Saccharomyces cerevisiae S288C: one gene and its partners. Changing the gene in region 2 together with the main gene of any one other region gives a genetic interaction. Each region holds a gene or a part of one and is shown on either strand. Other genes may lie near its edges.

Region 1 (7,586 bases), on a different chromosome or scaffold from region 2:
AGGCTGCTTGGACAACAGGGGAGAGCTGGATTTACCTATAGTCGCCGCAGCCATGTTTGTTGATGAAACGCCTGCGGTCGTACCAGAAATTGGTGTTTTAGTGACCATCGATCCGGAGACTGTTTTGTTACTAGCTTGTCTACTTTTAATCGCATCTGATGCTATGGCGGACCAGGATTTTGCTGCTGGAGGAGATGGTGAAGGTGAAGATGTCTTGGAAGTATTTTCTTCAACAGATTCCTCTGGTTCCTTCTTATCCACTACAGGTAAAACAGTAGCTTGAGGTTCCTGTATAACTTTTTCGTTACGGTCTTGCTTAGCATCCTCTTTCTTTACTTCAGTTTTCTTTTTAAGCTCGTGCGCATCTTTGCTCGCATGTGGTTTTTTATCATGAGCATCTTCTTCTTCCCCATGTGTTTCTGTCTTTACTTCCTCATTATGCTTTGGTATACTATGGCTTTTTGTGTGATGATGGGCAGAGCTCTTTTCTACAGATGAGTTCTCTAAGCTTTCAGAGTTTAGGTTCAAAGCCTTCATGTTTAATTCGTACCTTTGGACACTTGCCGCAGCAAATTCTGCTTCCGTAGTGTTTATGAACAGTGGCAATTGAATCAAGTTTGATGAATTTTCCTTGAGATTCTTTAATTTAGTGACATCAAACTTGTATAAATCATACTGTGAAGAAGAGTTGTAGGAAGAGTACGATGGTGAAGTAGCCGAAGAACCGTTGCCGTTGGAAGAGTTGGTCTGTTTTTTCATGCCCGCATTGCTGCCACTGTTTGGAGAGGCCATCATGGGGATATGATTGTTAGAGTAATTGTGATGGTAGGTGTGGGATTTGTTGTAGCTCATGCCGCTACCGCTAGAGTTGGCGCCTTGATTACCGCTGCTTCCATTGTTATTGGTAATGCCATTAGAGTGCCACTTCTTCTTGTTAATGTTGTTGTTATTGGTAGTGCTTCCGCCGTTAATATTGTTTTGCGGAGGCAAGTGATGTGGGCTGCCACTTTGATGGTAGATTGGCTGGTTTTGGTTGACCATATTAAACGAATAGGCAGGTATTTGTGTGGGGTATAGATATGGGGCCTGAGTGTAGCCGTACATCTGCAAAGGCGCTTGATAAATAGGAATCTGCATATTGGTTGGCGTAGGTGGTGGTGGAGAAGAGGTTTTCGGGTACATCGAGTACGACTCTTCTTTGTTAGCGTCTTGCATGTTCATTTTTTTTAATGATGATGGAAAGGAAAGCGGTACCTGGATGATGGTAGCAGACGAGTCTGACTTACTATTAAAATGACTTTCTTCTCTAGAAACACTTCTCTTCCCTTTCGCTTTTTCGCTGCTTGTTTGTTTTATCACATTATATTTTTTTCCTTCTTTTTCTTTTTCTTCCTTGCCTTTGCCCGTAGAAAAATTACCCTCTTATTACCGTTCACCTATATACGTATTCCTTCTACATAGTTATGTTATTGGTGATCGCATGAGATTTGCAAACAGCACCAAACAGCTCAATGCCCCTGTCGATATCATCAACTTCTAAGAAACTAATAGAAAGCCTAAAGCATGACTGACCCCAGTTTTTCTCATCGCCGATGACCTCGAAATTGGAGCCGTCGGCAAGGATGACATTAAATTTCTTGGCAAGAATAGTGGATATCTCCATGGCATTGTACGCTGGTGGGAGAGTGATCCAAGTAAAATAGCCGCCCTTCAATGGCATAATCTCGGTTCCTAGGGGCATGTATTTCTTAAGCGCCGAGGTCAAGACAGTGGCCCTCTCGGAGTATACGGATCTCAGATGTGCAATGCATCTCTGGGCGGCACCACTACGCAGCATCTCACCCACGATCATGGAGTTCAGTTGTGAGGGAGTTCCGCCAGAGACGTTTGCACCACCTTTAGATAGCTGTCTGGCGAGATTCGCGTTGATTGACTCATGGTATCCAAATCTGAGCCCAGGGGCGATCAGCTTGGAGAAAGTTGCGTTGGACACTGTATTCCCGAACGAGTCCTCACCGGAGGGCGCTGTACTTCTGTCTATGTGCACCATCCTTAGGGGCGGAGAGGGCAGCTCATCTGAGGGCGTCGTGTAATCTAGAATATCGTACACGTCATCAGTGATTATCAGCATGTCGTACTTCCGAGCGATGTCGATAAGTCTGCGTCTGGTCTCAAGCGAGTATGTGTTTCCCGATGGGTTTGCAAACGTCGGGATGCAGTACATAACGTACCTGTAGACCTTCTTGGTCAACTTTGGCCCCTGAATCATCTCTGTGGTACTATGGGGCTGCGGCTCCGCCTCGTGCTGCTCAAGGGCAGAAATCAACGACTCGAAATCAATCGAGTCGTGGCCCTGCTCGTTGATGGCGGTCATTTTCCCCTTGAATCCCGCATCTGTGAAGCAATTGTTGATCAAGAAATATGTTGGCGTGATGATGAACGCCTGCCTGGTATACCCGTTATGTGGCAAGGTTGTTTGCAGAAGGATGTTCAGCATGCCATACGAAGCGCCGCTATTCAGATTCAAATAGTCTGCCCGTGTCCTGCTCCGAGCCCCATTTTCGAACTTAAACAGCTGATCATTCAGAAACGTACAAATCTGCTCTCGCACCCACAGGGCACCTTCGTCCGAACCGTACGTCAGCGGATGCCTGTTATAGGGGTCGTTATCGTACTCCCTGGTCTCGGGCCCCAATATAGCCGCAGTCGCTTGAATTACTGCTTCTCGAGGCAGCAACCTCGAGCTCGGATGGCCCTTGAAGAAATTGATTTCCTTGTATTTCATTACCGCTTGCTAGCACGCGTTGTTCCTTGTTACAGCGATGCTCCACCCAGATTTATGTGTTGATTTCAAATCCTCTTCTCTTTATCACTAGTTCGGCATCCAGCAGCGGCAGCCCGCGATAACTTTGACGGAACTCCGCCAGCACACGTCGCGCCTGCGCTGGGCCGGGAACATGCCAAAGGACACCAGCCAGTAGTAGCGGTAGTGACCATTCGTTCTTTATCACTAGGGGCTGTCGTCCAAACAACGCCAGGGCAGCTGCTTGCTCATCTTGCTGCATCAATGCTATGCCCATAGCCTTGGTCATTTGCGGGAAGTCGCGCAGCCTTAATGGCGGCTGCCCTGGTAGCGTATCCATCTCCTGCAAGAATACCTTCCACTTTTCCCTGAGCGCCGTGGAGTGCATTGTGCCACGCGCAAACGCTTCGACTTTAATCCGTCTAAGCTCATACTCAATCAGTTCATCTTCTGGGCTGGTGCGACGATCGCGATTCATCGCCTGGTAGTGCTGGAGGAACTGCGCGGGTAAGAAGAGCCTGTCCTGGTACAATGCTACGCCAGCCATTTCACATAGCAGGCGGCCCTCTACTGGCAACCGGCGTGGCATCACATGCTGATACCACATGTATGCTATAGTGTCGGCATGGGCAAGCGCAGCGGCTCGCGCTAGCATCGTGTGCAGCAGCTCCACATCCACGCTGGTCTGCTGCTGCTGACGCAGCAGCGCCAGTGCATCGGACATTTTCCCGTTTAAACTGCTTAACAGTATTCGCGACCGCACATCGGTGGTCACCAGTCTTTTCGTGATAGTCAACATGACGTGTTCCGTTCTTATGTTCGAGCTAATGCCTCGTCTGCTCTTCCACGTTCAGATGTTCCCTTGATTGCTCAAAACACTCTCAGCAGGCCGAGATTTCGATTTTAGCCAGCAGTACGGAAGTAATCCGAGCCATGAAAAATTTAACCAGTGGCTCGCCCTCTATACGTATCTGTTCACGTACAAGCGGAGCCACAGAATAACCTCCCCGACGATGTTCAAACTCACCTCTCGACTCGTCACGTCAAGGTTTGCTGCCTCTTCCAGACTGGCCACCGCTCGAACCATAGTATTGCCCCGGCCCCATCCGTCATGGATCTCTTTTCAGGCCAAAAGATTTAATTCGACGGGCCCAAATGCCAACGATGTCTCGGAAATCCAAACCCAGTTGCCTTCCATCGATGAATTAACCTCTTCAGCTCCTTCTCTTTCCGCTTCTACTTCGGACCTTATCGCTAACACGACCCAAACAGTGGGCGAGTTGTCCTCCCATATAGGGTACTTAAATAGCATTGGCCTGGCCCAAACCTGGTACTGGCCCTCGGACATTATCCAACACGTCTTGGAGGCCGTTCATGTTTACTCTGGGTTGCCTTGGTGGGGAACTATCGCGGCCACCACCATCCTCATTCGATGCCTGATGTTTCCCCTCTATGTCAAGTCCTCTGATACTGTTGCTAGAAATTCCCATATCAAGCCCGAGCTGGACGCCTTGAATAATAAGCTAATGTCCACTACAGATTTGCAACAAGGTCAGCTAGTCGCCATGCAAAGGAAAAAACTGCTCTCCTCGCACGGCATTAAGAACAGATGGCTGGCCGCACCCATGCTACAAATTCCAATCGCCCTTGGGTTTTTCAACGCATTGAGACACATGGCTAACTACCCAGTAGATGGGTTCGCTAATCAAGGTGTCGCTTGGTTTACAGACTTGACTCAAGCAGACCCTTACTTAGGTTTGCAAGTAATCACTGCCGCTGTGTTCATCTCATTTACAAGGCTGGGGGGTGAGACTGGTGCTCAACAATTCAGTTCTCCCATGAAGCGTCTTTTCACTATTCTACCGATCATTTCTATACCGGCCACAATGAACTTATCGTCCGCTGTGGTCCTCTACTTTGCCTTTAATGGTGCCTTCTCCGTCCTACAGACAATGATTTTGAGAAACAAATGGGTTCGTTCGAAACTGAAGATAACAGAAGTAGCTAAACCAAGGACTCCTATCGCTGGCGCTTCCCCCACAGAGAACATGGGCATCTTCCAATCATTAAAACATAACATTCAAAAGGCAAGAGATCAGGCGGAAAGAAGGCAATTGATGCAAGATAATGAGAAGAAGTTACAAGAAAGCTTCAAGGAGAAGAGGCAGAATTCCAAAATCAAAATTGTTCACAAATCAAACTTCATTAATAACAAAAAATGAATAAAGGCTCTATATCTCTCTGTAAATATAAAAATATAAAACTCAAACCCTCGATAGGCGGGACCAAATTTTTTCTCTCTCAGCAGTGGATTGTATACATTTACCACGAAAATTGTTTATTGCTTGAAATAATCATTTGGATTCTTAATAAAATCTTGCAGGATTGTCTGAACTGCACCTAATCTGGACCCCATGCTGTTGGCTAAGTCTTCTTGGTTTATAAAACTCATGGAAAATACAATAGCCAAGTTTGATGCGTCCATTTTATTATTTACAACATGCTGATGTACTTTATTCAAATGAAATACAATTCTTTTCAAAGTTTGGTAATAGCATGTAGGTAACTTTTGGAGTAACTCATTCATCATTCTCTTGTATTCTTCATTTACCATTGCATGTGCTTTATACTTAATCGCCAAATCGGTAAAGTCGTTCACCATAGCATGAGAAAATAAAGAATCTGGTAACTCTCTTAAATACATCTTAAAACAGCCTGCGATCGCATTCACTTCAAACCATCTATCGTCCTCTAATGTAAAGGAATTATCTGTTGCACCTTCTTCGTCAAATGCGTTCTTTAGTGCATTTATACTGCCGATGGAACCAGGAATTCTGTACAATCCCACTTCATCTAGCCCACGCAGCTCAATCTCTTCCAGCAATTTCACAACAATTGTAGGTATCAAGGTATTCTCTCTTTCACAAACGTCTTCTAATGGTACCCCAAATATCTTATTATGAGTTTTACCTTTATATTTTTTCGAATGGAATGAAAATCTCTTGGAAGCCTTGATCATTTTTATCCATTCTGTGAGGTCACTAGAACTAGCCGTTTGAATCAGATATTCATGGCCATTTTGCATAACTATCTTGAACGCATAGTAGTAAGCCGGAATGTTTCTGTGATTGATTATTTCCATTATTGACTTGATTTCAAAGGTCTTCAAACTATAACTAGGTTTTAAGTCGTGTAGTTGCATGGAATCAACCTCTGGAAGTATACTTGGTAGAATGGATTTGTTACTTGAAACTTCTTGCGATAATATACTGTTGAGTGAATAATTAGAACTGGATGTGTTGAATCCACCGATTGAAAATGGTCTTCTGAAAAATCCACCTATTTTTTTACTAACACCATTATGGCTGGAATTTGACACTACTGATGATCTATTTGTGGAAAAGGAGGCCCTTGAATCTCTTCTATTCCTTGCTGAATTATTGCTTTCCATAACACTACCTAGAGAAGGCGTTTGACCGGTGTTCTTATTGATATTATAGCTATGATCGTTGTCACTATGAGTACCTGAGATAATAACAGACTTCCTATTCTTTTTCGGAACGGCCTGATGTAAAGCAGCAGAGTTCTTCAAGATCTTTTCTTGATCGAGTAAAACCTCTAATTTTCTGGCTTCCCTCTTTATTTTTTCAATTTCATTGACTAGTATTTCATTAAATACTCCCTGCTCTTGAAATCTCTCCGATATGGCTTCTGATTCTGATACTTTTTTAGTCTTCTTTCTGTATACTTTATTAACATCTTCAAAATTATTGAACAGAATGCGGCCAAATGTAGTTCTTTTCGAAGGATTTTCGTCACTCATTTCAATATCAAGTGGAAACTCCCTTTCGTTCGGAATTAAATCCAAGACATTAGATATTATGTTGTTAACAAATCTCCTTTTGTCAAAATTAATAAGTTTCGAATTAGTGATACTCATGTTAGGGACAAACTGAGATATTTCTAGTAACCTTGAAATGAACCAACCAGGGCAGGGGCATAAATTCTTGCAGTTTTTGCTGAATACATCATCAATCTCAATGAATCTCTTTATATGTATGTCATCTATCTTCTCTAAAACGTTACTAATCGATCTTAGATTTTGGGTTCCTTTAGTAGGGTCCGAAAGTTTTTCAGAAGCTTTGATCCACGAAAGTTCATAGTTTCTAGACTCTGGTGATATTATGGCATGCGCAATAGCAGTTTCAATAAAAGCTGGAATGTGTGGACAAATAGCATGAGGACTTTCATCCTCCTCTGAATCAAATAAATCCAAACTTCCGTTTTTCCAGCGGATGTAGTTCAAAATTTGTAATATAACTTTACAAGTAGTTAACCTTTCACTACTGCTTTTGTTGACGTTTGAAATTTCCATCACGAAAAACGTAGTTAGACTCGTGTGTAACTTTATTAACAATTTTATAGATTGTGGTAGTTTTTCAAAAAAAAGACTCTCCGTACCATTATCATCCTTAAGAATCAATGTAGAAATCCAAGTAAAAAGATTGGAAATTTCAAACTCGTGCAATTGCAAATATCCGGGGTTTATCAATTTGCTTGACTTAAAATGTAGCGGATAATTGAAAAAAGAGACCAGAGATTCCTTTGAAAGCAATTCCAACTCCTGGAAAAGAACTATCCAATCTTTCTTAGAAACTAAATTGAACTTCTTAGAAATAAAGTTATCTAACTGGTAGATCCATTCTAGTATATCTTCGTAATTGGTTGAGTGTAACTTTTGAAAAGATCTAATCATGTCATCGCTAAAGGAAGGATCATCAAT
Region 2 (8,189 bases):
TAGAAAATCTATTCAAAATCAATGACCTCTTCCAATCTTCTTATGATATCCTGGACGGCTCAAGTAAAAATGCTAATGCTGCAACGATGGACCCCAGTATTGGTTCAGAGGTAGAAGCAGTCGACGAAATAATTGAGAAAAGAAACTTTAAAGACGGTACTAAAAAAGATTCGACAAAAAACACCGTAGGTGATAAATCATTAATAGACTCGCAAACGTTTTTAACAAATTCCATCAGTAACATTTTTAAATTCATGACTTTTCGACCCATGTTGCCCAAGCAAACGGAAAACAAAAAGTTTAATTTTCTGAATTCCATTCTAACAAAATCTCAATTCATGCCCACGACTAATGAGCTAGATGTCACGATAAGAAAATCTTACGATGTCTCGTTATACTCATGCAGACTTGGCGGCATTCTAGGTTTAAGTTCACGTGTTCCCCACCGAGGCGGTGTCAACACGAAATATATTTTACCATCGTCACTATTGGAAATGAGCGAAATAATAACAGAAAGTTGTTTTATGCTAATGGAGGAGTTCGACGGGCTGCTCCCTCAAAAATTCGAGTTGGACCCTTGCACTGATGAGACTAATGGGAATTGCGAGTTTAACGGCGAAACTAAATCACGAATGATTGCCAACGGCGAATATGAAACTTTTGAAAATGACCTAGATGTCGGGATCAAAGTTTCGAATTATGGGAAAGGTGGGAATGACCAGAAAGCTAAGAGAAATGTACTAAGCAAAGATGGGATAACAGAGACTCAAAACATAAAAGGTGATACTGTTGGAAGCTCGAAATCGATTGCTGAAATAGACGGCGACGAAGTAACGCAAATACGTAGAGTTTTTACGCTTGGTAAGGATATCAAACCGCATATTACAACGGACGATACCATGGGTTCTCAGTGGAAAAACCATCCAGACTGGCCATTTTGGGTCAACAAGGTAGAATCCAGAAGATTGTTGGATTCGAATATCATTGAATCTATATTTTATATGTACAGAATCAGTGGAGAACAAAAATGGAGAAGCATGGGTAAGCAGTCTTTTGGAATCTTAATGCAAGAATTAATGGAACTAAACAGTGGTGCCAAAGGATTGTGGCAAATAAAGGAATTTTATGAAAACGGTGAAAAAGTGAACAATGATTTACCTAGCTATTGGTTCTCCAGAACATTAAAATACTATTTGCTACTATTCAGCGATGGTGACAAGGTTTCCCTGGACAAACACATCTTAACTCAAGGAGGGCACATAATCAAAAAGAAATGAAGTTAACGTTAGAAAAATCGTACGCACATACATACATACATATAGGTACATATATACATAATGAGAAGAGGAGAAAATGAATACTTATACAGTAATGTTTATTTTTTTGGGATTAAGTGTCGTTGTGGTGATTTCTTTACACAGCCAATGGGTATTCGCCAGCCCAGTCGTAAATTTCCTTTTTCCAGGTGTTCAAAACATCAGAGCCTTCGTCGACCTTGGCTTTGAAGTCCTTTAATCTACAAGCATCCTTTGGCAAGCTTTGTTGAACTTGTTGAGCGAATTCTACAGCCTTGTTAATGTATTGAACAATTCTGTGGAAATCTTCTTCACCCATTCCTCTAGTGGTCATGGCTGGAGCCCCAATACGGACACCACCTGGAACCAAAGCAGATTTGTCACCTGGAATAGAGTTTTTGTTCAAAGCAATGTTAATCTTTTCACAAATGTATTCAACACGAGCACCATCAACACCCTTTTCTCTCAAGGATACTAGAACCATGTGAGAATCGGTACCGTTGGAAACTAATCTGTAGCCCAAGTTCTTAAATTCACTTTCCAAAGCCTTAGCATTCTTCAAGACTTGAGTTTGGTATTCCTTGAATTCTGGAGTGGCAGCTTGCTTCAAAGCAGTGGCCAAAGCAGCAATGGTATGGTTGTGTGGACCACCTTGGTGACCTGGGAAAACAGAGAAGTTAATTGGGTTTTCCAAGTCGTATAGAACTTCCTTACCGGTCTTAGGGTTGATAGATCTCACACCTCTTCTGAAGAAAATCATAGCACCACGTGGACCTCTCAAAGACTTGTGAGTGGTGGTGGTAACGATATCAGCGTATTCGAAAGGAGATGGGATGACACCTGCGGCGATCAAACCAGAAATGTGGGCCATGTCTACCATCAAGTAAGCACCACATTTGTCGGCGATTTCTCTCATTCTCTTGTAGTCAATTAAACGACAGTATGCTGAAGTACCAGCAACAAGAACCTTTGGTCTATATAGGATGGCGTTCTTTTCTAAAGTATCGTAGTCGATAATACCGGTTTCTGGGTTAACTCTGTATGGGAAAGATTCGAAGTATGTGGAAACAGCAGAAATTTTTCTGTTTTCAGTAGCGTAACCGTGAGACAAATGACCACCATCTGGTAGGTATAGACCCATCAATCTTTCATGAGGCTTCATAATAGCTTGATAAACCTGCAAGTTAGCAGGAGAACCAGATAAAGTTTGGACGTTAACACCCCATTTGTCTGGAGTAACATGGAAAGCTTTCAAAGCTCTTTGTTGACATAGAATTTCCATTCTGTCAATGTGTTCATTACCACCGTAGTAACGAGCACCTGGATAACCTTCAGAGTATTTGTTGGACAATGGAGTTCCAAGGGCATCGAAAACGGAGGTTGAGGTGAAATTTTCAGAAGCAATCAAATCGATGGAGTGCTTTTGTCTTTCAATTTCATCCTTGATAATGGAGTCCACTTCAGGGTCGGTGTCCACCAAATGAGAGGTGATCAACTTATGATGAGCGTCGGATAGAGTGTAAGGCATGTTAAGGAGGATTCGGTTTAAGCTGTTATGCTTTGCTATGGGGTAGTATCTTTCGTAAAGGTTACACTAGAAGAAGGAAAGATTACTGAACGCAAACTAAGGGAAGCAAGTTCTGCATTATATATAAAACAAGATGAAGAAGACTCATGGTTCGGTCTAAGATGATTATGAATTTAAAAATTATACAGAGTAAAAAGCGAACATGAGAAACCCAAGAGATAGAGTCAAACCTTTATGGTCAAAGCAACCTGAAAGGGTCATTTCTCACCAGGAGTCATGTTTCGTGTGTGAAATATTTGAAAAATTTCACTTCTTTTTTCTTTTTTTTTTTCTACATTAAAAATCGGTGCGTTGTCTTTTCAAAGATGAGGTAGATGAAGATGGTGACTCCGGCTGTTCAGATCCGATTGACTCGACCGACTCTGTTTCCTGTGGTGGCTTCAAGTAGTTGTCCATGTACCATTGCAATTGAGCTATGCTCTCTTTGATATCACTATAAGCAGTGTGGGCAGCTTCTTTTTTTGGATTACGTGCTTGTAAAGCGGGATTGTGTCTGCGGGCAACTTCCATGATGCTACTGACGTCAACTATTCTGTAAAAGAGATGATCAATGACCTTGGGAAACTCGCGGACCATGAACAAGCGGTCCATATGTACACTATTGCCTGCCAAGACGCCAACGTTCTTGTCTGGGATGTAGCGCTGGATGTACTCGAGCAGCTCATCTTCTACCTGGGCCAAAGTCTTCTCACTTGCCAAAACTTTGGCGGTGAGACCGCTATTACCGTGGTGCTCAATACACCACTCGTTCATTTTGTTCATCACCTCGGGACCATAATGGATGACGCTCTCATAATGCGAGTCTCCTTGGCCATCGGCCGCTTTGACGGGTGCCAGGTGTCCATCGGTGATGATGCAGCAAATCTCGATAATTCTGTCATTCACGTGGTCTAAACCGGTCATCTCGCAGTCGATCCAGACCAAGGGTTTGAACAGCTTGGTTTTAAGTTCGGGTGTTTGCGCCATTGATTGCAGGTTTTGGATGGTTCGAGGACGTAAGTACTGTGAAACGGATCTTCTGTACAGCGAGAAGAGGTTTGGGCGAGTGCGAGCTACGATTCTTGCCGGAAACAACAACCACTTCATCTTGATCTCTTCTGTTTATTTGTGAAAGCTCCTTTTCTTTTTTTTCATTTTCTTTGCAAATCGAAAAGTTCACACTGATTTTTTATTAGTTCTTTTAAGTGCCCAACTTGACAGGAAAAAGAAACACCCCAAAGGGAATACCAGTGTATGTAAGGCTTGAATTATACGTATGAGCATGCGTTTGATGGTTGTCGTCAGAGCCAGTGCTCTGAGAGTGTCCCAGATGACTACAACCCTTGTATAAAAGTACATCTTCTTGATTATTTATCACGACACACGAGGTGACCGATTATTCAGAATCGGTACCAAAAAAGAAAGAAAATTGAAGGAAATGAAAAATTTTCAATGTATTTCTCGAAAGCCTGGAGTTGATCAAATGTTCAAAAAATAGGGCAGAATAGCATAACACACATCAATAACACCGAGCCAGCATGCCTACCGTCTCCGTGAACAAGCAGCAATTATTTGATCTTCTAGGCAAAAACTACACTTCCCAAGAGTTCGATGAATTATGTTTTGAATTCGGTATGGAAATGGACGAAGACACCACAGAGGAGGCCTTGAAAACCGGGGAGGAGCCGGAATTGAAGCTTGATATCAGTGCCAATCGTTACGATTTGCTTTGTATCGAAGGTATTTCACAGTCGCTGAACGAATACTTGGAACGTAAAGAAAGACCTGACTATAAATTAAGCAAGCCAACCACTAAGTTGATCATCGACAAATCAACGGAGCAAATTAGACCTTTTGCTACCGCTGCTGTATTGAGAAATATCAAGCTTAACGAAAAATCTTACGCTTCTTTTATTGCCTTGCAAGATAAATTACATGCCAATCTATGTAGAAACAGAAGCTTGGTTGCCATGGGTACTCACGATTTAGATTCAATTGAAGGTCCATTCCATTACAGAGCTCTACCACCAAAGGACATCAAGTTCGTACCATTGAATCAAACCCAAGAGTTTACTGGTGACAAATTGATCGAGTTTTATAAATCTCCAGAACAGAAAAACAACATAGGGAGATACGTTCACATTATTGAGGATTCTCCAGTCTTCCCAGTTATTATGGACAGCAAAGATCGTGTTTGCTCCCTGCCACCATTAATCAATAGTGAACATTCGAAGATCTCTGTGAACACCCGTAACATTTTGATTGATATAACCGCCACCGATAAGACCAAAGCCGAGATCGTTTTGAACATATTAACTACAATGTTCTCACGTTATTGTGACGAACCATTCACGGTTGAGCCTGTAGAAATTGTCTCTGAACACAATGGCCAATCCCGTTTGGCGCCAAACTTCAACGATAGAATTATGGATGTCTCCATTAAGTACATCAACTCCTGTCTTGGCCTAGATCAATCCGCTGATGAAATTGCTCATTGTCTAAAGAAGATGTCGTTGCATGCCGTTCAATCAAAGGAAGACAAGGACATCTTGCACGTTGACATTCCGGTAACTAGACCTGATATTTTGCACGCTTGTGATATAATGGAAGATGCCGCTGTCGGTTATGGTTTCAATAATTTGCCAAAGGGTGAGAAATTATCCAATGCCAACTTCATTGCCAAACCATTACCAATCAACAAGGTTTCTGATATTTTCAGAGTTGCATCCTCTCAAGCCACGTGGGTTGAGGTTTTACCATTGACCTTATGTTCGCACGATGAAAACTTTAAATTTCTAAGACAATCCGACAATGGTGATTTAGCTGTCAAATTGGCCAACCCAAAGACTTTGGAATACCAAGTTGTTAGAACCACTTTATTGCCTGGTATCTTAAAGACAGTCAAGGAAAACAGAAAACATTCCTTGCCAATCAAAGTCTTTGAAACCGGTGACGTTGTATTTAAAGACGACAAACTAGAAAGGAAGGCGTACAATGAACGTCACTGGGCTGCCATCTACGTGGGTAAGAATTCTGGGTTTGAAATCATTCAAGGGTTATTGGGTAAAATCATGCAAACTTTTAGAACAGAGTGGATTGCAGACTACGGTGCTGCTGCTTCTGGCAGAGGTTACTGGATTGAAGAAGACGATTCTGTGAAAACCTACTTCCCAGGTAGAGGTGCCAAGGTCATGTTCAGATCCAAAGAAGGCGCTGAGCCAAAGCAAATCGGCCACTTGGGTGTCTTGCATCCTGAAGTCATGATGAATTTCGACGTTCCATTCGCTGCATCCTTTGTAGAGGTTAATGCCGAAGTCTTCCTATAATGTAATGTTCTAACAAAAATTTTTACTGATTTATAAAACTTATATAGATAGATAGACACATATATATATCTATATATAGAAACACAACTAAAGTTTACCATGTTTTATATAATATTACTACCGCTACTGAGTAAATGTTTAGCTTGTACTTAACTTTCAAAGACAGTTTTTTTGATAAACATCAGTACATTTAATAATACATCCATACATTTATGTTAATTTGTTTTTCCTTTCCACCTCAGTGCGCTTCTCTTTTGAAAAAATCCTCAACAGGCCACGCGAACAAATCTTACCGAGAATTTCCTAAAATGTTTCAAACTATCATTTAGCTGCATACAATATGTACATTATTAATTGAGATTAACAACTTTACCTGTACTTTACCGTTATCAAATTATAAACCACCAAAACAACAGATTAAGAAACAATGGCCCCAAACGTATGATACTTTAAAAGGAATCCACGCCCGATTACGAAGTCTATGTTTTACTGTTATTGTAATGATTGATTGTACGCGAATAACAAGGAAGATAGTAAAACCAAAAAAAAAAAAATAAAAATGTACGAAACGAAGAAGCGTCTATGTGTTTAGTTGCTTTTCTGTATTTTAAAAATTCACTACTTGAACATTGAACTCTATATCGACTCCCTTCTTTTTATCCGTTTCTGAATGTTTTTTTGTTTGAGATTGTCATATGTGATTGTTAATAGCAGTAGGCAACTTTGTGGTTTCGGGATTGAAAGAAAATCGTGAAATATTCGTTTTTTACTAACATTACTGTTCTGAAAATTTTTACTAATTTTCAATCTTTAATTTTTTTGATATAGACTTCCAGAAAGCAAAAGATTGCCAAGACCTTTACCGTCGATGTCTCTTCTCCAACTGAAAACGGTGTCTTCGACCCAGCTTCCTACGCTAAGTACTTGATCGACCACATCAAGGTCGAAGGTGCTGTCGGTAACTTGGGTAACGCTGTCACTGTCACTGAAGATGGTACCGTTGTTACTGTTGTTTCCACTGCCAAGTTCTCTGGTAAGTACTTGAAGTACTTGACAAAGAAGTACTTGAAGAAGAACCAATTGAGAGACTGGATCAGATTTGTCTCTACCAAGACCAACGAATACAGATTGGCCTTCTACCAAGTCACTCCAGAAGAAGACGAAGAAGAAGACGAAGAATAAATTCATTAATATTATTTTAAATAGAGCATAAGTTTTGTATAATTAAAATCTTCTAAACCTAATAAATATGTTTAATGAATGATTCAATATCAAAAAAAGAAATCCATTGGGCCCTTAGTGCATTTTTATTTTTTTTTTTTTTTTTTTTTTTTTTCTCTTTCTGAATTAGAGTACATCTCATCGCAGGGTCTCTTTTTGCACGTTTTTGATGTTGCTTATGAGACGCTTTGCCTTTTTAACTTCTTCAGTATATTTTAAATATATACCAATTTATTCACAATATCATTACTCTTCTCAGTTTCCAATTAACATGAATCCTAAAAAAGTGGCCCAATTGCCCGTTCACAATAAATCAACGCTTCCACCACAGGAAATAATCGATCTTTTTAAAATAACATTCTTAGAAGAGCTATATCCAAAAGATCAAGACAATGAAAAGTCACCGTTAACTGAACAAATACAGGCGGTAAAATCTGACCTTTATAACAGAGATTACAATGCTGCTTTCAATAACGACTCGAAAAGAATAGCATATTGTTGTCGTTGGTCACCGTCCAGAGCAACAAGTTACGCATCAGTATTTGCACATTTCCCTGAGCTTCTAAAGATTATCAGATGCGAAATTGATGACAAGGACTCAAATGTGCTCTGCATAGGTGGCGGCGCTGGTGGTGAGCTGGTTGCATTAGCGAGCATATTCACTTTATCGAGAGATTTTTCGTCTAAATTTGCCTCTGCTTTGAAAATAGACAACGAAGTAAACAAAAAGCCTAGAAATTTAAACATACAACTAGTAGATATCGCCGACTGGTCCACAGT
Region 3 (7,711 bases), on a different chromosome or scaffold from region 2:
AAGATCCTTGGATTTTGTAGCAGCTTTTTCCTTTATCAAGAAACTGCTTGACTTCTTTTGCGAAAAAGGGTGGGTTTGATTTTCATCTTGATGCAACCTCTCATCGACATCCATTTTGTCACTGTGTCTGAGAATCTATACTTCAGGGCCTGCTACAAGAAGTAGAAACTAAAATACAATGTTACAAATGCGAGAAGGGTTTTTTTTATGATCATGAGTGACCGCAATAAAATCTTTCGAAGCTTTTTCGAATATTTTAACATTTTTTCTCTATAGCTTCTTTGTGGCATCGCCCATGGGATCAAACCATACTGGTTTCTTTGTAAAACAGGCGCAAAATATAGAAACTCAGAAAAAGAGAAAACGAGTAGTGGAAAAATTTATCAGCCATTTATGCGACGCATCCGTTTGACTGATCTACCTATTTAAAACAGAAACCTACGTTGAAAAGTTATTTTTCCAACACATTACTGGATCTCATCAAATTGCCAATGTAATCTTCTAGATAATCATTTTCTTGCTTTAGTTGCTCACACACCTCTTGCTGCTCTAAGGTTTTATTCCACAACAAGTCTAATGTATCCTTCAGAAGTTTGGTTTGGCGCATCATCCTCTCATTTTTTGTTCCAGCTTCTCTTTCGCCAAGATTAACTTCAGAGGATGGCTGCTTGCCCGTCGGCGAGCCAGTACTAATGTTCTCCGCTGACATTGTCCTATTTGTTTGTTTGCTATTATAATTTATCTAGTCAACAACTTCGCAGATCTACAAACTGGTCCTTAAGATGTTTTATTGAAGACATCATTTTTTATTTTTTTAAGCAGAACGTGCTGTGCTCTCCCTTTTGGGCCTTTTTACGATTTTCAAAAAAATTGGTCTCTAGCGGGATCGAACCGCTGATCCCCGCGTTATTAGCACGGTGCCTTAACCAACTGGGCCAAGAGACCTGTAATCTGTGTTAAACCTGCATAAATTATGAAATCATAGCAACGTTTCAAATACTTCAGATGCCCCCATCCCTTCGTGTAGATGATGAAATGAAACTCTAGAATATCATCCATTTAGTAGCATTCTTGCTGCTGGTATAGTATCATATGAGATCTAGGAAGATGAAATGAAGCTTGAGAAAGAGTTAGCAAGTTTAATGGAAGCTGAAATGCAAGAATTGATAATGTAATGGGAAAATGAAGCATATAAAACGATAGGAAAAATAATCGTAATATTATTGTATGCAAATACCGATTAAATTTGAGGATCCCTATACCCTTGAGGAGAAGTTCTAGTATGTTCTGTATACATAGTATTGAAGCCTCTATCAACAATGGAATCCCGATAATTATCACAAAATTCACACAAACCTCAGATAAACGTAACAGTATTAGCATACATAATTATACCCAGGCTTCTCCCACAGTGCGCATGATTCGCTACGAAATCATCAATTTCACATAATATTGAGATTGCATTTGTTTTTGTTTCTTGCGTTGTCACTTTTAATTCTGCTGTATTATCAACTCCTGCACTTAGCTTCTGCAAGATAAAATGACGACTTGAGCATCATTCTCAGATTCAGTTGAAAGTTGCTGACGATTTTCAGGGGTCCCATTTCTAGTAAAACGACATTAGACATATACTAGAAGTTCTCCTCAAAAGATACAGGAATCAATAAAAGAGAATCGGCAATTCTAAATAGCATATTATTATTACTTCTTTTGCTTTGTAAGTTGTAATTTACAATCCTATTACATTATCGTTTCTTGATTTCAACTTCCATTAGATTTGATTATGACTGCCATCATTTTGGGTCACCGTACGTGAACATTGGTTTGCAACAGGAATAAAAGTCTTGAGATGTTGTACTCTGAGCAAATAAACAAAAGGAATTCTTTCTAATATTTCACAAAACTGATTTCCAAAAATGTCTCTAAGTACTCCATTAGCGACACATTTTACATTTCATTTATTTAACATAATACCTTATTTAAAGATTGATTAATTTTCGATGAGGCATACCCCTTGGCAGAAAAGGAACAAACTCACAAAGTGCACAAAGAGTTTATAAAGAAACTAAGAAAAGTAAGGAAGAGAAAGAGACCGTACCAGCAAGGCCAAGATGTTTAAAAGAATCGCAATAGCCCAGATAAGAACGTATACAAATGGCGTTGTTTTCAAGACAGCCTCTAAACCCAAAAGAAGATGGATTCCATGGACAATTTTTGGGGGAAGTTTTCTTGGAGGGTGGTACTTGACACAGCATATGACGTTCACGGACTTACTAGCTTATTGGAGATATGATGCCCTACCCAAGAACGCAGATGAAGTCGTCAAATATCACGCTGATCTGAATAGACGTTTAAATGGCCTACCCATAGTAAAACAGTTGGAGAATGCTGGTTTTGTACAAGTGATTGCTAATGAAGAGGAGAACTTGTTAGTGTCAAGGGCATTAAATACACCAGGTGGCGTCGCTATACCACCAAGAGTTTACTACAACCCCAGTAGGCGTGAAACTGTCGGGCTATACCATTTAGGAATGAAACTTACTGGTTATCCTTTCTTAATTCACGGAGGCATTTTAGCAACAGTTATTGAAGATTTAATGAAGGAGGCCATTAGACTCGAAAAAGGAACAAAAAATATAAACCAAGAAACCAAGAATTTGAGTATCTCGTACAAGTTCCCCACGTTAGCTAATCAATTTGTTGTAGTAAGAACCACCGATCTTCAGCAATACGGTAACAAAACTAAATTAAAGGCTGAACTTATGGACCAAAGTGGCAACAGGACATTGGTCAAAGCTAATGCCACGTTTTCTAGCGAACAAGGGAATCCAAAAGAAGAAAAATAGATTTGCCGTCTACTTATTTATTTATTTATTTATTTATACAATAGCTGTACCATGTAAATAATACATATATGAAATTATTGAAACCAATGTATGGATCCATCTCCGCATACTATACAATCCATGGAATAATCATGTTTTTCTAAAGGAATTGGAGAGGCCACCTGTTCCATAAGACATAGTCCAACTAGGAGGGGCTTTTGGCCTTCATGCAGTATCTTATACCGTTGGAAAAAATCGTCATAATACCCAGCACCGTGACCCATCCTTGCACCAGTTTTAATATCAAACGCCACTCCAGGCACCAATACGACATCTAGAATATCTGATTCCTCAATATGCGGTTCAGGCTCTTTTAGTTGATATGGACCTTGAGGCTTCAAATCACGAACCATTTTCAAACTACTCATTCGATGGAATATTAAATGTGGATGATGATCTTCCCGTAATTTGAAGTGTTTCGATTCAGAAGTATGAGTACATCTTGGCAGAAAGACCTCCTGGCCATCTTGAAATAAATTCTTAATGATTTCTCCAGTCGTTACTTCTCCTTTATCCATGCTCATATAACACGCTACACGCCTAGAATTGGCGGAAGCGATCAATGAGCGTACTGCTTGAGAAATAGTATGCGACTCTGCAGCGATAATATCGTAGTCAAGAGCATTTATTACCCTTTTGATTTGACGTCTCAGTAATTGCTTAGTGGCCATTAATTTTTTGTAGCTATATAAAGATAGCGTAGCTGACAGTAATTTTTATTTTTGCCATTTCAATGATTAAATATTATTCGGAAGAAATCTGAGAAAATTATATATATCCTTCAAGAGAATGAAGCTGCTAACTGATTAATAAAAACAGCTTTAATCACAAATCTCTCACGACATGAAATAAAACACCCTTGCAAACAGATGTGGAAGACTGATTGCCACAAAGCTTCGGGCTCGCAAGCAGAATGGTTTTCAGGAAGTGACTTACTAAGCTCGAATATTGTCCTAGATAGCAAACAGGCCTTTGATGGAATCAGTTTGTCTCCTGAAGGTTTTTTTGAAATAAAATGATAAATGAGAATAGCAGACCAGTTCTACGGGTAGGATTGAGATATAAAACGAGAAAGGCACTCTCTCACTGAAAAGTAATGAAAAATTATCAGAACTCCAATCTGCTGTCTTTACATCCTCGAGAATATCGCTAAGCTATCGATACTACGAATGATCCAGATACGACAGTCTTCGCTGGCGATCTTTTTGGACTAAATTTGCTCACTGATACACTAAAAAGCCTACGCAACTACACAAAGGTAAGAAACCACAATCGCTACCCATTAATCCTTATTGGCATTGTAGCCCCATATAATAGAAGTGAAAGAGTAACATTGCGCCATTTTTCGCTACTAAATAACCTCAAGAAATGTGTCCAGCTTATGGTTCCCATAGAGCGAGAATATATGACTTAAAGCATATCCCTGAGTGGGTTGCACTGGTACACACTCTGTGATGGTGGAGCACATTAATTAAAACTCAAAAAAATTATCACGATATGGACAAAAATCTAAATGGGCAAGTATCTCTCACAAAAAGACCTCACGTATTTTATGAAATTACAAATTGACGTATTTCAACCTTGTTTACTCTAAAGTTCCCCCATATAGCATAGGGGTGCTTTGGGTTTATTTAATCGTCAAATATAGTCCGATTTGTCTCATTATTCTTGTGTCGGAAAAAAATTTATTGAAGCGACTACTACCTAGATATTCTGCAATTTTTCCTATAATATAATATGCCTCACCCCAATCAGTCCCTCTTTATGACAAGAAATAAGACTACAGTGTTACATCAGATACTCCACATTCCCCCTATCGAAACCCAACAAGAGCGCTATCTCTTATACAACATTTCACAAAAAACATGTGATATGCTTTCAATTGATCCTATCAATATCAAAATTATCATTCTCACTGCATTATCCTTCATTTTCGTTAGTGCGCATCCTCCATTTTGGGACGTGTCTACCAAATAAAGAATGATGCGAGATACAAAGTAGGTGATAACATCAGAACCCGGTGTTAGAATGCAAGGTATAATCAGCAAAAAAAAAAAAAATGTGTAAAAAAAAAAGGTCGGTTACCAGCTTTACTAAATGTTTTCTATTGAATAAAATCATAGAATTCCATAAGTGACTGTGACATTTTCCACCCAGTTGATACAGTTCAATGAATTCTCACTGCAGCTATATTTTGGATGCTTCTCCACTTTGTAATATACATTGTGATGTTTCTTTGATGAAAGATATAAAATATTAAAAAAAGTTGATTCTTACATCTCATCTTTGTCATAAAAATCCTCTGGAATGGCACCTTAGAATTTCTAGGCACAGGAAACTATTCGATTTTTCTAATATATGAATCTAAGTCAAATTCAATATCTATGTTATTTCAGAAAGTGGAGTAGGTGTGCTTTTAAGAGAACGGATTTATGACGGAAAACTAGGTTAAATAGACGAAGAAAAGCTGAAGTAATTATCGTTTTGCTGAAACTTTCAGGATAATCCCTATCATAATATATTCCTATCAAGCGATGAGCAACGGAAAGCTGTGAATTGTGAATGTAACAACAAGACTATGTGAAGCAATTTTTAAGAGTTATTTCATTTAGCAATCTTTTGAGACCCGAAATACTCAAAGAACGATAAAATCGTGGGACGAATAATTAGACTAGCAACAATAAAAGGAGTAAATACAACTAGATTTGTGAGTGTGTGTAATTGCGTGTAGCTTGAAAGACTTACCACAGTGGTATCAACACCATACTCGAATCGTTCTAGATCTTGCATAAAAAAAGGACATTTACTTTTACTTACTAGTTATGAGCCACCTTTGATTTCATGGTACAGCCCATAACCTTCCTGAAAGCGGTGCATAACGTAAGGGACTAGATTAGAATCACAAAACCTTTTATTGCATTCTACAGTATTCGTCTAAATCAAGGGATTTTATTTCCTAATTGAAAGTGATCAATTGTTTAGGTGCATACTTGGTTTTTACTCTCCGAGGTTTTCTTTAGTAATACCAAATTCAGTGTCCTCCCAAAATAGATTGAGAAGGTCTGGTAGAGATTCTGCAGTCACAAAATTTTCGAGGCTACAAAAGTCCATGCCAACTGAAACACTGGTGCTGCTGGGTGACAACTTCTCATAACAAGCACCTTCTTGATTTTTTCCCTGTACGCCAATAACTCTATTATTCACCAAATCACCCATTTCCCTATCAAGAATGCTGAGAATTTCTTTACGGAAGCTTGATTCTTTGTGTTCGCCTATAATATTCCTGTACCAGATACATTCAATGTCCAACGCAGCTTGACCAGCATCTGAGCAAGCCTGGCCATATTTTTTCAATTCACAAAACAGCGATTCCTTAGCCATTTTCTGTGAACGTGTGTACATCTGACAGCAGATGCGTGTTAGGATGAAAGAAACCGCTGTTCCATTTTCCAACTTTTTAGAGAAGGCGTTGTTGCCCTTGAAATTAACATTGCCAGAGCTCACAAATAAGTCATTATATGAGGCTATCATGCGGCACATCAAGGATAAATAACATATCGAGTTCCTTCTAGGGGTCTCGATAAAATTCAAGGTAATATTCATCAAGATGGCATATATGAACCACGAACAACGGAAAATATAGAACGTATCTTCGTGCTTGAGAACATCCGTCAAAATATCTACAGATGCTTCAAAGGTTTGAAGCCTGATGTCCTTTACGCAGGAATCAAGTTCAATTCTCTCTCTTTCTTGTAGAAGATTTTGTATCCTTAAAATTAAACTCTCCATTCCCTGAAAACAACAAACCTTTGCAAATCCGAAATGGGTGTATAGTTCAAATACATTACTATTTTCAGAATATTGTTTGAGGAAAGGGATTAGTTTGTCTTGTATGCACTGAAAAATTTTACATATTTTTGAAAACTCTACCATAAGCTGTCGTGCGGTTCCATTTAGGTCTTTAGCGTTAGGAGTTGCAAATAATCTGTAGTCTGTAAAGTGTCGATTATAAAGCAAACCAGAGAATACCGCTGTAATAATTTTCGTTAATAGAATATAGCCGAAAGAGATACAAATATCAAACTTACTTGGGTCGAGCTCCACCAAGTTTATTAAAGTAAAACAGTCCATCGAATCATCTACCCCTAATCCAACCACATCCTTGGGAAAGAGACACGAAGTCATTTCATGTGGTATCAATGGCTGCTTACCGGTGACCAATGAATACCATCTATCCCACCAGTAGCAGTCCCACCATAACTTACGATATTCTTCGGCAGTGTCCTCATCCTGACCAATATAATATTCCCAACGATTCAAACCAGCATCCAAACTTCGCCTGGACATCGTGGAAATAATTCTTCCCAGCACAAAAGGATCGTCTATCCAATATCTGTGTTTCATCAACGAGACTAAGCCCTTTAAAATAGTCAAGTCGTACATTGTCGAAAATAGGGATCTTTCAAAATATTCAAGACAGAGACAAAAAATCAACTCATCTTGCTCAAGAAAATATTTCAAAGGAAGTAATTTTTTGGAACTTTTACGATCCAACGCCTTGTGGTGCTGTTCCATCAATTGTACTCCGTACATAAACCAGTCTGTTGGTTTATTGAATTTGATTGTTTGGTTAATGTTTGTATTTCCTTTGATTTCATTCGATATATTTGACATAATGTGTTGAATAAGTACGTCGTTCCCACATGAAAGTCCGTTTAGCTTTGAATAATACTCTAAAGGAGATATCGAAGTTACTTTAGGACCAGCATGGCTAGCAGAGCTAGCGTCAAGAAACTTCAAAAATAAATAGATAGTTTCTCTCGTCT
Region 4 (9,675 bases), on a different chromosome or scaffold from region 2:
TTTCTCCCTTTTTGCTATGAAATTTATTTGAGAATTGTCAAAAAAATAAAAATAAAATGTTAAAATTAAAAACCAAAATGTAATAATACTGACAATAATTGATTCTTATCTAAGTTCTCGAAAACCCTAACAAATATTATAAAATGGATCAGGATGCTTATCTTGAAGCATCACTCTCCAAATAGTGAAGGTTGAGTCTTAGAACCGTTATGTTTACCATTGATCATTGGCAAACTTTGGCAACAAATTTCTCAATGGAATGTAGAACAAAAACGCGGAAGCTCTTATAAGGTCTACACCCCGAAAGGAAAATTATGCTCATCTTGATAAAGCTTTGAGAAATTATCCTGGATAGTTCCGTTGAGCTCAAAACTATGGTTCTGATTTCTAAAAATTCATTGGCGCTTCCGTAATTAACGCTAATAATTGGATCGTTAATTAAATGGTAAATACGAAAAATGGGTATAAAATTGATAGCCAAGGTACTTAAAAGGGGGGGAATGCACTTAACAAAGAACCTTCATCATTGTGGAAAACTTGGAGACAATGTCCAAATTGTGTGAAAATTGCTATCCAACCATCTGAAAGCCGAAAGTTAAAGGTCTCAAGTTCACTTCCCCAAAAAGCAATCGAACAACAGTGGCTGATTTACAAATTTATTCAGTTATACTCTATAATAAAAAATAAAAGAAAGCGATACATAACCTTCCTACTATTTTTTTTCTATAAACAAGTTGGCGGCCAAAATCAAATCGATCGAAAGGTGAAGAGAAGTCGAGAAAATGACTTTTTTCTTCATCCAACTGATCATTTGAATTTTTTACCGAACAATATCATTTGCAACTGGTCATACATGGAAATAACACCAGCTCCAGCAACACTTCTCAAGATATTTGCCCCGCAGCCTTTGAACAATGACCCTACACCTTCAGAAGCTACGATTTTTTTGAGACAATCTATAGCACCGTTGTACTTTACTGCTTGACCTGAAGTCATCATCATTCTTCTTCTCACTGTGTCTAATGGATAAGAACATGTTGAGGCACCTGTAGTGACCACCCATCCCAATAAAAATGAAGCCAAGAATGAACCATCTAATGAACCAGTTAGCACCAGTGGCTTGAGAGAATCAAACATACCGAAATATAGTCCTCTATAAACCACGATACCCACTACTGATGGCATGAATCCTCTGTATAATCCTGCGATACCATCCGATTTCAAGGTCTTTTTATAAACATCAGTCAACCCATTGAATTGGCGAGCGCCACCCTTTTTCGACGATTTTGCATCAGCAGCAAGTCTGGTTCTGGCAAAATCTAAAGAATAAACAAATAATAACGAAAGAGCACCAGCTGCACCACCAGAAGCCAGATTACCTGCAAACCATTTACCATAGCCTTCCTCTTTCTTGAAACCAAACATCAACTTAATCTTATCTTTGAAGGCGAAGTTCAAAGCTTGAGTGGGAAAATAACGAATAACATTGGCAGTATTTCCTCGCCAAAAGGATATTAGTCCCTCTTGCTTTGCAGTTCTCTTGAAACAATCCACGATACCGGAATACTTTTTATCTAAAGTTCCTTGCTTGATCATTTCATCTTGATTTTGGATCAAGATCTTGACTCTTTCGATTGGTGAGGCAGCAGTTTTAGCGATGGCCGCACTCACACCACCCATTAAGAAATTAATGGCAAAGTTTGTTTCTTGTTGCTTAGCGTCGCTACTCATTGTTTCTCAAGGCACAGTATATCACTTCAGGTAAACCGTCTTCAATTGAGTTAATTATACTCACACCACTTCTTTAGTCTTTCTATCTGAAATCATTCAAGCGCACTTTAGATTCACTTCAACGCCTAATGAAAAGGACAATGGAAAACCCTTCTCGAGAAATCTTATATGTAATTTGAAGGCAACCAAACAATGAAAAAGAAAAAAAAAAAAAAAAAGGAAAAACTTTATTTCAAAATTCGTCAACCCACTAAGGTTTATTACAAGTTCGTCTCATTTCCTTTTTTACACCCATGCATTTTGTCATCCAGACATTACGCATTTTCCGTGAAGATTTTTTTTCTTCGTTTCGTTTAATATCCGTTCTCGGTGAGGAGGCCATTGGAAGCATGTCTTCCGCTTAGCACCAGACTGAGAGAGAGTGCGATGCTTAGCATAATTTTGGTTGCCTCTTCGAATTGCTCCTGACAGTGTACTATACGCTGGCCGGGGCCGTGGCAATCCCTGGGTAGCAGCTGGCATGGACTCCTTTCACGAATCCTGCCAGACTAGGGCGGTCTCAGTTGGAAGCCGTCTTCCTTGCAAACTACGATAGGCATCGACCTAACTTCTCTGAGGGGGAAACAAAAATATAGGTTTGGACAGTGATCAACAGAGAATACAAGGTAACTATTGATTTTACGCTTCACATAGAAAGTTGATTAAGAACTCCAAAGCAAAAATGTATGTGATGCAGTGAATAATGAATCTATGAAAGTTTATCAGGAATAAGATAGAATTGTTATAATAACTCCCTCTTGAGGAATGCGAGTTTGATGAGTTATCACCTGAAACACCAGCGTTATTGAAAAGTGATATGGGTAATATATGCCAAGAACGATACTGTGTTCCATTTGCATCATGAATATGCTAGTGAAGCCAGATGTTTCTATAATCGGAGTTTTAGCACTAAAAGGCAAAAGAGGAAACTTGTGGAAGAATTTTTTTTCTGTGCAGTTTACCATTAAGATATTTATAGCGATAAGTGAGACCATTAATATGAGTATTCAATACGAGAACCAGTTACGTGATAAAAGTTACTCGAGCTGCTGCAGTATCCAGCATACATAATAACCATGTCATTTTTCTATAGCGAGTTTTAAAGTGTCTACCACCGCAATTTCTATCTTTCGACGCGAATAGACTTTTTCCTTCTTACAGAACGATAATAACTAACATGACTTTAACAGGGCTAATTTACGTACTCAAAAGAGACTTGCCGCTTCTGTCGTCGGTGTCGGTAAGAGAAAGGTTTGGTTAGATCCAAATGAAACCTCTGAAATTGCTCAAGCCAACTCCAGAAACGCCATTAGAAAATTGGTTAAGAACGGTACCATCGTAAAGAAGGCCGTTACCGTCCACTCTAAATCCAGAACCAGAGCCCATGCTCAATCTAAGAGAGAAGGTCGTCACAGTGGTTACGGTAAGAGAAAGGGTACCAGAGAAGCCCGTTTACCATCCCAAGTTGTCTGGATCAGAAGATTACGTGTCTTGAGAAGATTATTGGCTAAGTACCGTGATGCTGGTAAGATTGACAAGCACTTGTACCATGTTTTGTACAAGGAATCTAAGGGTAACGCTTTCAAACACAAGAGAGCCTTGGTTGAACACATCATCCAAGCTAAGGCTGATGCTCAACGTGAAAAGGCTTTGAACGAAGAAGCTGAAGCTAGAAGATTGAAGAACAGAGCTGCTCGTGACAGAAGAGCTCAAAGAGTTGCTGAAAAGAGAGATGCTTTATTGAAGGAAGACGCTTAAATTTTCTTTAATTAATTTATCTTAATATACATACTCAGTTAATAAACAGGTAGCAAAAACTTCGATAATACGTATGTATGCACATATACCTACATAACTAAAACCCATTTTTCTAATATTCTCATCTCAATTGTTTATATAAAGGGTACTCGTGCAGACGGACATCGAGGTCGAATTGATGCCATTAGGAGTCTGCCAAACTATTTAAAATAGACCTTCAATTTCACCGTCGTCGTCGACTTCTACTGCCATGTAACCAGCATATGTCGATAGACCCGGTATGGTTTGAATTTCTGCAGCCAAAGCGTATAAATAACCTGCACCTATTGAAGCTCTCACATCCCTGATGGGGAACGTAAAACCTCTAGGAACACCCTTTAATGATGGATCATGGGATAATGAATATTGTGTCTTAGCAATACAGATGGGAAGATTACCGAAGCCTTGTTTTTTGTAGGTGTCTATCTTTTTTTGGGCTTCTGGTGATACTTCGATTTTTGCCCCACCATACATTTTTTGGACGATGCTGGTAAGCTTGTCCTCGATGGAGCTATTGACGTCGTACAAAAAGTTAAAGTTCTTTGGTTCTTTCGTTGCATCTACCACAGCATGTGCTAATTCTACTGCACCTTTACCACCTTCCATCCAGTGATTAGAAGTAACGGCATGAGATGCGCCAGCATTCAAGGCTGCTTTCTTGATTACCTCAATCTCTGCCTGTGAGTCTGTTTCAAATCTGTTGATTGCTACAACGACTGGTATTCCAAACGTTTTGATGTTTTCAATCTGCTTAACCAAATTACTAACACCCTTGGCAACAAAATCGATGTTTTCCTCTGTGTATTCTTTTGGTAATGATTGTCCGGGCTTAACATTTGGAGCACCTCCATGAGATTTCAAAGCTCTTACGGTTGCGACTAAGACAACTGCATCTGGCACCAATCCAGAGGAACGACATTTGATATCAAAGAATCTTTCACCACCCATGGCAAAATCGAATCCTGCTTCAGTAACTACATAACCAGGTTCATGGATGTTCTTGTCATTTAACGGGTTCTTTTCTGAACCAACAAGCTTCAATGCCATTAAGTCTGCAATTACTGATGATGCGCCGATGGAGATGTTGGCGAAAGGACCAGCGTGAACCATTACGGGGGTCCCTTCCAAAGTTTGCATTAAGTTAGGCTTTATAGCGTCACGTAATAATGCAGTCAGAGCACCGGTACAGCCAATATCTTCTACTGTTACTGGTTTGTTATCATAATCAGCACCAATAACCATGCGTCCAATACGTTCCTTCATCTCGTGTAAGCTTTTAGATAGAGCTAAAATGGCCATTAATTCAGAGGCAACAGTGATATCGAATCCAGTGGTCCTTGTAAAACCCTTCTCCGTAGCGGCTTCGCCAATGGTAATTTGTCTTAACATCCTGTCATTGATGTCGACAACTCTTCTGATAGTGATAGTATCGGGATTTATGTTCAATCTAGCAAATCTTTTGACTTCTTCAGGTGTTAAAGCATCAGGGTCTTCTTTTTCAATATCCAATCTTTTAAGCCTTCTCTGCATGGATGGGGTAAACTTTCTGATGCCTTTTTTTCTTGGAACTAGTCTCTTGTAAAATGTACTATCATTCTTCTGAGTGGCTTCATGGAACATTCTAGTGTCGATAGCTGCTGCAAGAAGATTGTTCGCAGCGCTGATAGCATGAATATCCCCGGTCAAATGTAAATTGAACTCGTCCATAGGAATAACTTGGGCATAACCACCACCAGCAGCACCACCTTTGACACCCAGGGTTGGGCCAAGAGATGGTTGTCTAACGTTCGCGATGGATGGTTTCCCTAAATGAGCGGATAAAGCCTGCACCAACCCCATAGTCGTAGTGGATTTACCTTCACCCAATGGAGTCGGAGTAATACCTGCAACAAGGACGTACTTACCGTTTTCTCTAGATTCTAATCTTTTAAAAATATTTGGAGAAATTTTTGCCTTATAGTGGCCGTATAATTCTAATTCGTGAGAGTGGATTCCCAACTCCTCGGCAACTTGCTTGATATGCTTAGGACTCTGAGCTCTTGATATATCAATATCTGAAGGCACTGGACTTTCTAAGTGTAATGGAAGAGGTTTGATAACTGGAAGCTTTTCAGATTCCACGAATTGCCTTTTAGCAGCTAATAGTACATTGGAAACAAGCATAGCGACAGTCATTGGACCCACTCCACCAGGAACAGGGGTAATATAAGATGTCTTTTCCTTTACAGAATCAAAATCAACATCACCAACTAATTTTTGCCCACTTTTCTTACTGATATCAGGTACGTAGTTGATACCTACATCAATAACCACGGCGCCTTCTTTAATCCAGTCTGATTTAACGTATTGAGGAATACCGCAAGCTGCGATAACTATATCAGCTTGGGAGACCACTTCTGCAATGTTCCTTGTATGACTATGACAGACAGTAACAGTGGCATTCGCATTTTTCAACAACGAAGCAATTGGATTTCCGACGATACTTGATCTGCCTAACACGACGGCGTTCTTACCATCTAACTTAACATGAGCTTCTTCAAGTAATTTCATGCAACCATAAGGAGTACATGGTATGAAGTATGGTTTCCCTCCTTTTTTAGCCAATTCACCAGCATTATATCTGTGGAACCCATCAACGTCCTTTTTAAAGTCCACAGCGTTTGTAATCGTGGTTTCATCCAAGTGACGCGGTAGAGGTAGTTGAATTAGCAACCCATGGATAGAGTCATCATCATTGATGTCACTAATTTTCTTCAAAAGCTCAACTTCAGTGATTTCTGCTGGTAACTTCTCTATGATACAGTCTACATTGCTGTCCTTTGAAGCTTTCAATTTCATCCTCACGTACGTAGATGAGTCTGGTCTGGCCCCGACTTGAATGATTTTCAAGGTAGGCTTGAAATTAGGATGCTTAAGCTTAATGGCTTGTATCTCATCATTGGCTTTTTCTCGAATAGATTGAGCAAGTTTCCTACCAGAAAGAATATGGTATTGAGAAGCATGCACAGTTGGCGAAACTTTTAAGCGGTAAATGCGCCATCTGGCCTGTTGGAACGCCCTCGAGTTACTCAATAAAGATAGTCTCGACAACATTTCCTTTTAGCCTTAAATATCTGACAAATGAACAGACTGAGAGAATCACAGTAATGAAAGTTGTTTTTTGATGTGTATTGGCTGGTTTACTTCTGCAATTCTTGAGGCATCGAGAACCGCTGCAACATTATTTCGGAGGAAAAAGAAAAAAAATCGCTGTCCGTTGAAGTGAAAAAAATTTCAGCATGGCGCTAGAGAACTTTCTTACTCGTTCTGGCGCGTCAGTAAAAAAGAACTCGGGAAACAATAAGAACCATACATGTGCGATAGAAGAGTGTTGCAGGAGTAGCTTTGGTTTTGTTCGAGAACTGGTAATGTTTGACTAATACATAATTGTACCGTGCTCAATCATATCTGTGACGGTTCTTACTACGAAGATACGTATGCGTATTTATGTACGAGATGTATGTATGTATGTAGACATTTAATAAAAGTTCCCATGCGATTGGTTGGATGGCGTAAAGTTCCTTTGATGTGGAGAATGTTCGTAATGCTGGGGTGATGATAATAACAGCTGCGAAAAATAAGATGTTTGGTACTGGGGCAGACCTTGAATATAATTGGCATTGTAAGCATCTTCAGCAGGTCTTGGATACATGGGCCTTCCTCGTACTTTGGAGAGTGAGTAGGGCATTCCATTATTCTTGTAGTATGGCACTGGTCTGCTTTGGAGTTGTGTGACTGTGGCTGATCTTGGGACTACTTCTTCCTCCGATTCGTACTCTGAACCGGAATTGGAATTGGAACTGAACTCAGGATTACTTTCATGTTCTTGTATGCGGGAAATTCTTTGGTATTTGTTGATTATCTTTCTCTGCTCTATTTCGATTTTTTTTGCACTCTCCAGGATTGCCTTCTTGTTGGAAAAGCTAGCCTTATTGGGGCGATCTCCCTGGTGGAGTTCCGTGGGGGAAAGTTGTTCAAGAGGCCTCTTTGACGGAACGCACTTGTAGCCGTCTATGTTTTCATAAATGTGCTTAGCGTAAATGAGGGGGGTTTTGGCTTGAGATGCAGCATTAGTTTTTATGAAATTTTCAATTTTTTTCTCGTTGGAAGCAGTGATTGGCGTAAGCAGTTTTGAATGTACTGACAATCCACTGCTATTATTACTTACATAGAGGTTTTTAGGGGTTAAACTTCCAGAATCACTGACTGAAGGTAGAGAGTCGATAATTTCTTCAAATATGTCATAAAACAGGTTTGAGTTTTCAGTAGTTTGTTCAGCGCCATGTTCGATAAGGTGTAGAAGCTCCTTCTCCTTTGATGATAGGGTCAGCGAGTCCTTGATTTTGTTTTGTATGGTCTTCTTCCAGACTTGAATATGGGAAGAAATTTGCTTTTTGGTTCTGAACTCGTTGGTTTTGTGCTTGATATATAATGAAATCAGCTCGTTTCTTCCAAAATTGGCATTTCTTATTTTTATTTTTGTGGTCCCATTTTTCATTATCAGTCTAAGTGCCTCAAGGAATGCCTCTTCTACCTTTTCTGACCACTTATCACAACCGATAGTCCAAGATTCCGTTGTTGACGACGTTTCGCTACTTTGTCCGGGAAAGTAGTTGCTCACAGATATATTTGGTACTTCATTCTTCCTCTGCTTGTCAGTGAACGTAGCCTTTGCTGATGGAGATTTCAAATCGTCCGATTTAGCACCCAGTCCAGTATTTACCAGTTCGAATTGAGGATGCGTGTCTATGAGATTGATGTTATCCTCCGCTTCATTTTTCACACAAGCGGCGGTTGAAACTACGGCTTCTGGAAACATATCATCCAAGGCCGACTGTGAATACGAATCTTTTTGTATATATACGTCAAAAATTCTACCAGTATATGATTCTATATTTCTAGAATTATCCTTGCCAAAGTCGTCTTCTTTAAGACTCATGGTTAAACAGGTATCAGAATTGTTGAAATAGGTGGATTATTCTTCTTGTCGATATGGGAGGAATCTGGCACCAGTCGAAGAATCTCCTGTTTCATAAACATTTATAAAAGTAAGAAAAGGGTTGTCATATGTAAAAAATTAAGCAAGCCTTTTGTTTCAAACTTAATATATACCTCTGCGGGGGAATTACTTTTTTGGTAATAAGCTATTTTCTCCAGCTATGGGCCGTACCATCGAGAGAAACTCCAGCACCATGGATTGCTGATGGTAGCTACAGGTGCTTTTTAACTGTGCATGAGCCAAGAGCCTTGTGAGGGACCATTCGTGGAGTCCAGCTCAGCTTGTTTCCGGAGAGTTTCCCAGAATAATAAGCAAACGCAATCTGAAACACGCACATTCCCGAATTCAATGGGAAATTCTTTGAGTCGTACGCGGAATGCGAGCGGTGCCGGGGAATTCCAATGAGGCTGATTAAACCGGACTACGGGCAAAATGGCTCATCTGAAACACCTTGCGCCGATAAAAGACCCTCACCTGTGTCACTAAATGGAAAGAGTTGGCGTAAAATCTTCCTGTAAAAGGATCTCACCATTTTGGCCTAAAACATCATCATATCTGTTTTCGTGGAAAAAAAAGGCCGCTCATACATGAATACAGTGGGCACATGCCACCTGTTATTCCATAGCTGGCTTTACTGTAATATTAGAATAGTTCCTATCTGTGTGAAAAGTTTCTTTCGTTACCTTTTTTTCAGAGTCAAAAGCTGGAGGAGGCTATTGTACTTGCCTGTAGTTCCAGGTAACAATCGCTTAAGCAGTGAGCCCGCTTAATGAGAGCAAGTTATATATGTTTTGCTAAAACCTGCCAGATTCTCAGCCTAGAAGATATAAATCTAACGTGGATTTGTTACAGGCTGTCATACCTTATGTACTTACGCATCGTATCTTGTATGTGTTCACTTTTTTCTGGTAACTACACCACTTGGCTTAACCTTGCCAGGAACCGAGTAGGCCACACATGTTTTGAATATTGTAAGTGTGTACAATAAGCTGCAGTACTCTTTTGATTCTGTAGGAAACCAGCGAAGAACGTACTCTTGCCTGAAGAGAAGTTTTTTTTATTTATTTATA

Evidence for each region.
Region 1: mutations in SHM2 (region 2) and PET122 together harm fitness more than expected from each alone (negative genetic interaction), as found in Saccharomyces cerevisiae (2 studies listed by BioGRID).
Region 3: of SHM2 (region 2) and FAU1, a mutation in one rescues a mutant of the other (synthetic rescue), as found in Saccharomyces cerevisiae (one study listed by BioGRID).
Region 4: mutations in SHM2 (region 2) and MIS1 impair growth when combined (synthetic growth defect), as found in Saccharomyces cerevisiae (one study listed by BioGRID).

What each region holds. Positions count from the first base shown.
Region 1 is NC_001137.3:471,204-478,789, forward strand, and holds PET122 (Pet122p), read right to left. Parts: upstream 3,603-7,586; coding exon 2,838-3,602; downstream 1-2,837. Other genes in the region: mRNA-binding ubiquitin-specific protease UBP3, read right to left, coding at 1-1,221; YER152C (2-aminoadipate transaminase), read right to left, coding at 1,454-2,785; membrane insertase OXA1, read left to right, coding at 3,817-5,025; GTPase-activating protein BEM2, read right to left, coding at 5,142-7,586. UniProt on the Saccharomyces cerevisiae protein: Required for expression of the mitochondrial gene for cytochrome c oxidase subunit 3 (COX3). PET122 seems to work by directly interacting with the small ribosomal subunit to promote translation initiation on the COX3 mRNA.
Region 2 is NC_001144.5:256,579-264,767, forward strand, and holds SHM2 (glycine hydroxymethyltransferase SHM2), read right to left. Parts: upstream 2,824-8,189; coding exon 1,414-2,823; downstream 1-1,413. Other genes in the region: putative mannosidase MNL2, read left to right, coding at 1-1,277; REX2 (Rex2p), read right to left, coding at 3,160-3,969; FRS1 (phenylalanine--tRNA ligase subunit beta), read left to right, coding at 4,401-6,188; 60S ribosomal protein eL22 RPL22A, read left to right, coding at 6,616-6,627, 7,017-7,370; BMT6 (25S rRNA (uracil2843-N3)-methyltransferase), read left to right, coding at 7,579-8,189. UniProt on the Saccharomyces cerevisiae protein: Interconversion of serine and glycine.
Region 3 is NC_001137.3:550,414-558,124, forward strand, and holds FAU1 (5-formyltetrahydrofolate cyclo-ligase), read right to left. Parts: upstream 3,557-7,711; coding exon 2,921-3,556; downstream 1-2,920. Other genes in the region: ISC10 (Isc10p), read right to left, coding at 1-114; SLO1 (Slo1p), read right to left, coding at 452-709; YER181C (uncharacterized protein), read right to left, coding at 1,060-1,383; FMP10 (Fmp10p), read left to right, coding at 2,112-2,846; TOG1 (Tog1p), read right to left, coding at 5,883-7,711. UniProt on the Saccharomyces cerevisiae protein: Only enzyme known to utilize 5-formyltetrahydrofolate (folinic acid) as substrate. Contributes to tetrahydrofolate metabolism in an alternative way of folate biosynthesis.
Region 4 is NC_001134.8:408,039-417,713, reverse strand, and holds MIS1 (trifunctional formate-tetrahydrofolate ligase/methenyltetrahydrofolate cyclohydrolase/methylenetetrahydrofolate dehydrogenase MIS1), read right to left. Parts: upstream 6,661-9,675; coding exon 3,733-6,660; downstream 1-3,732. Other genes in the region: ADP/ATP carrier protein AAC3, read right to left, coding at 808-1,731; 60S ribosomal protein eL19 RPL19A, read left to right, coding at 2,453-2,454, 2,961-3,528; TEC1 (Tec1p), read right to left, coding at 7,085-8,545. UniProt on the Saccharomyces cerevisiae protein: Mitochondrial isozyme of C-1-tetrahydrofolate synthase.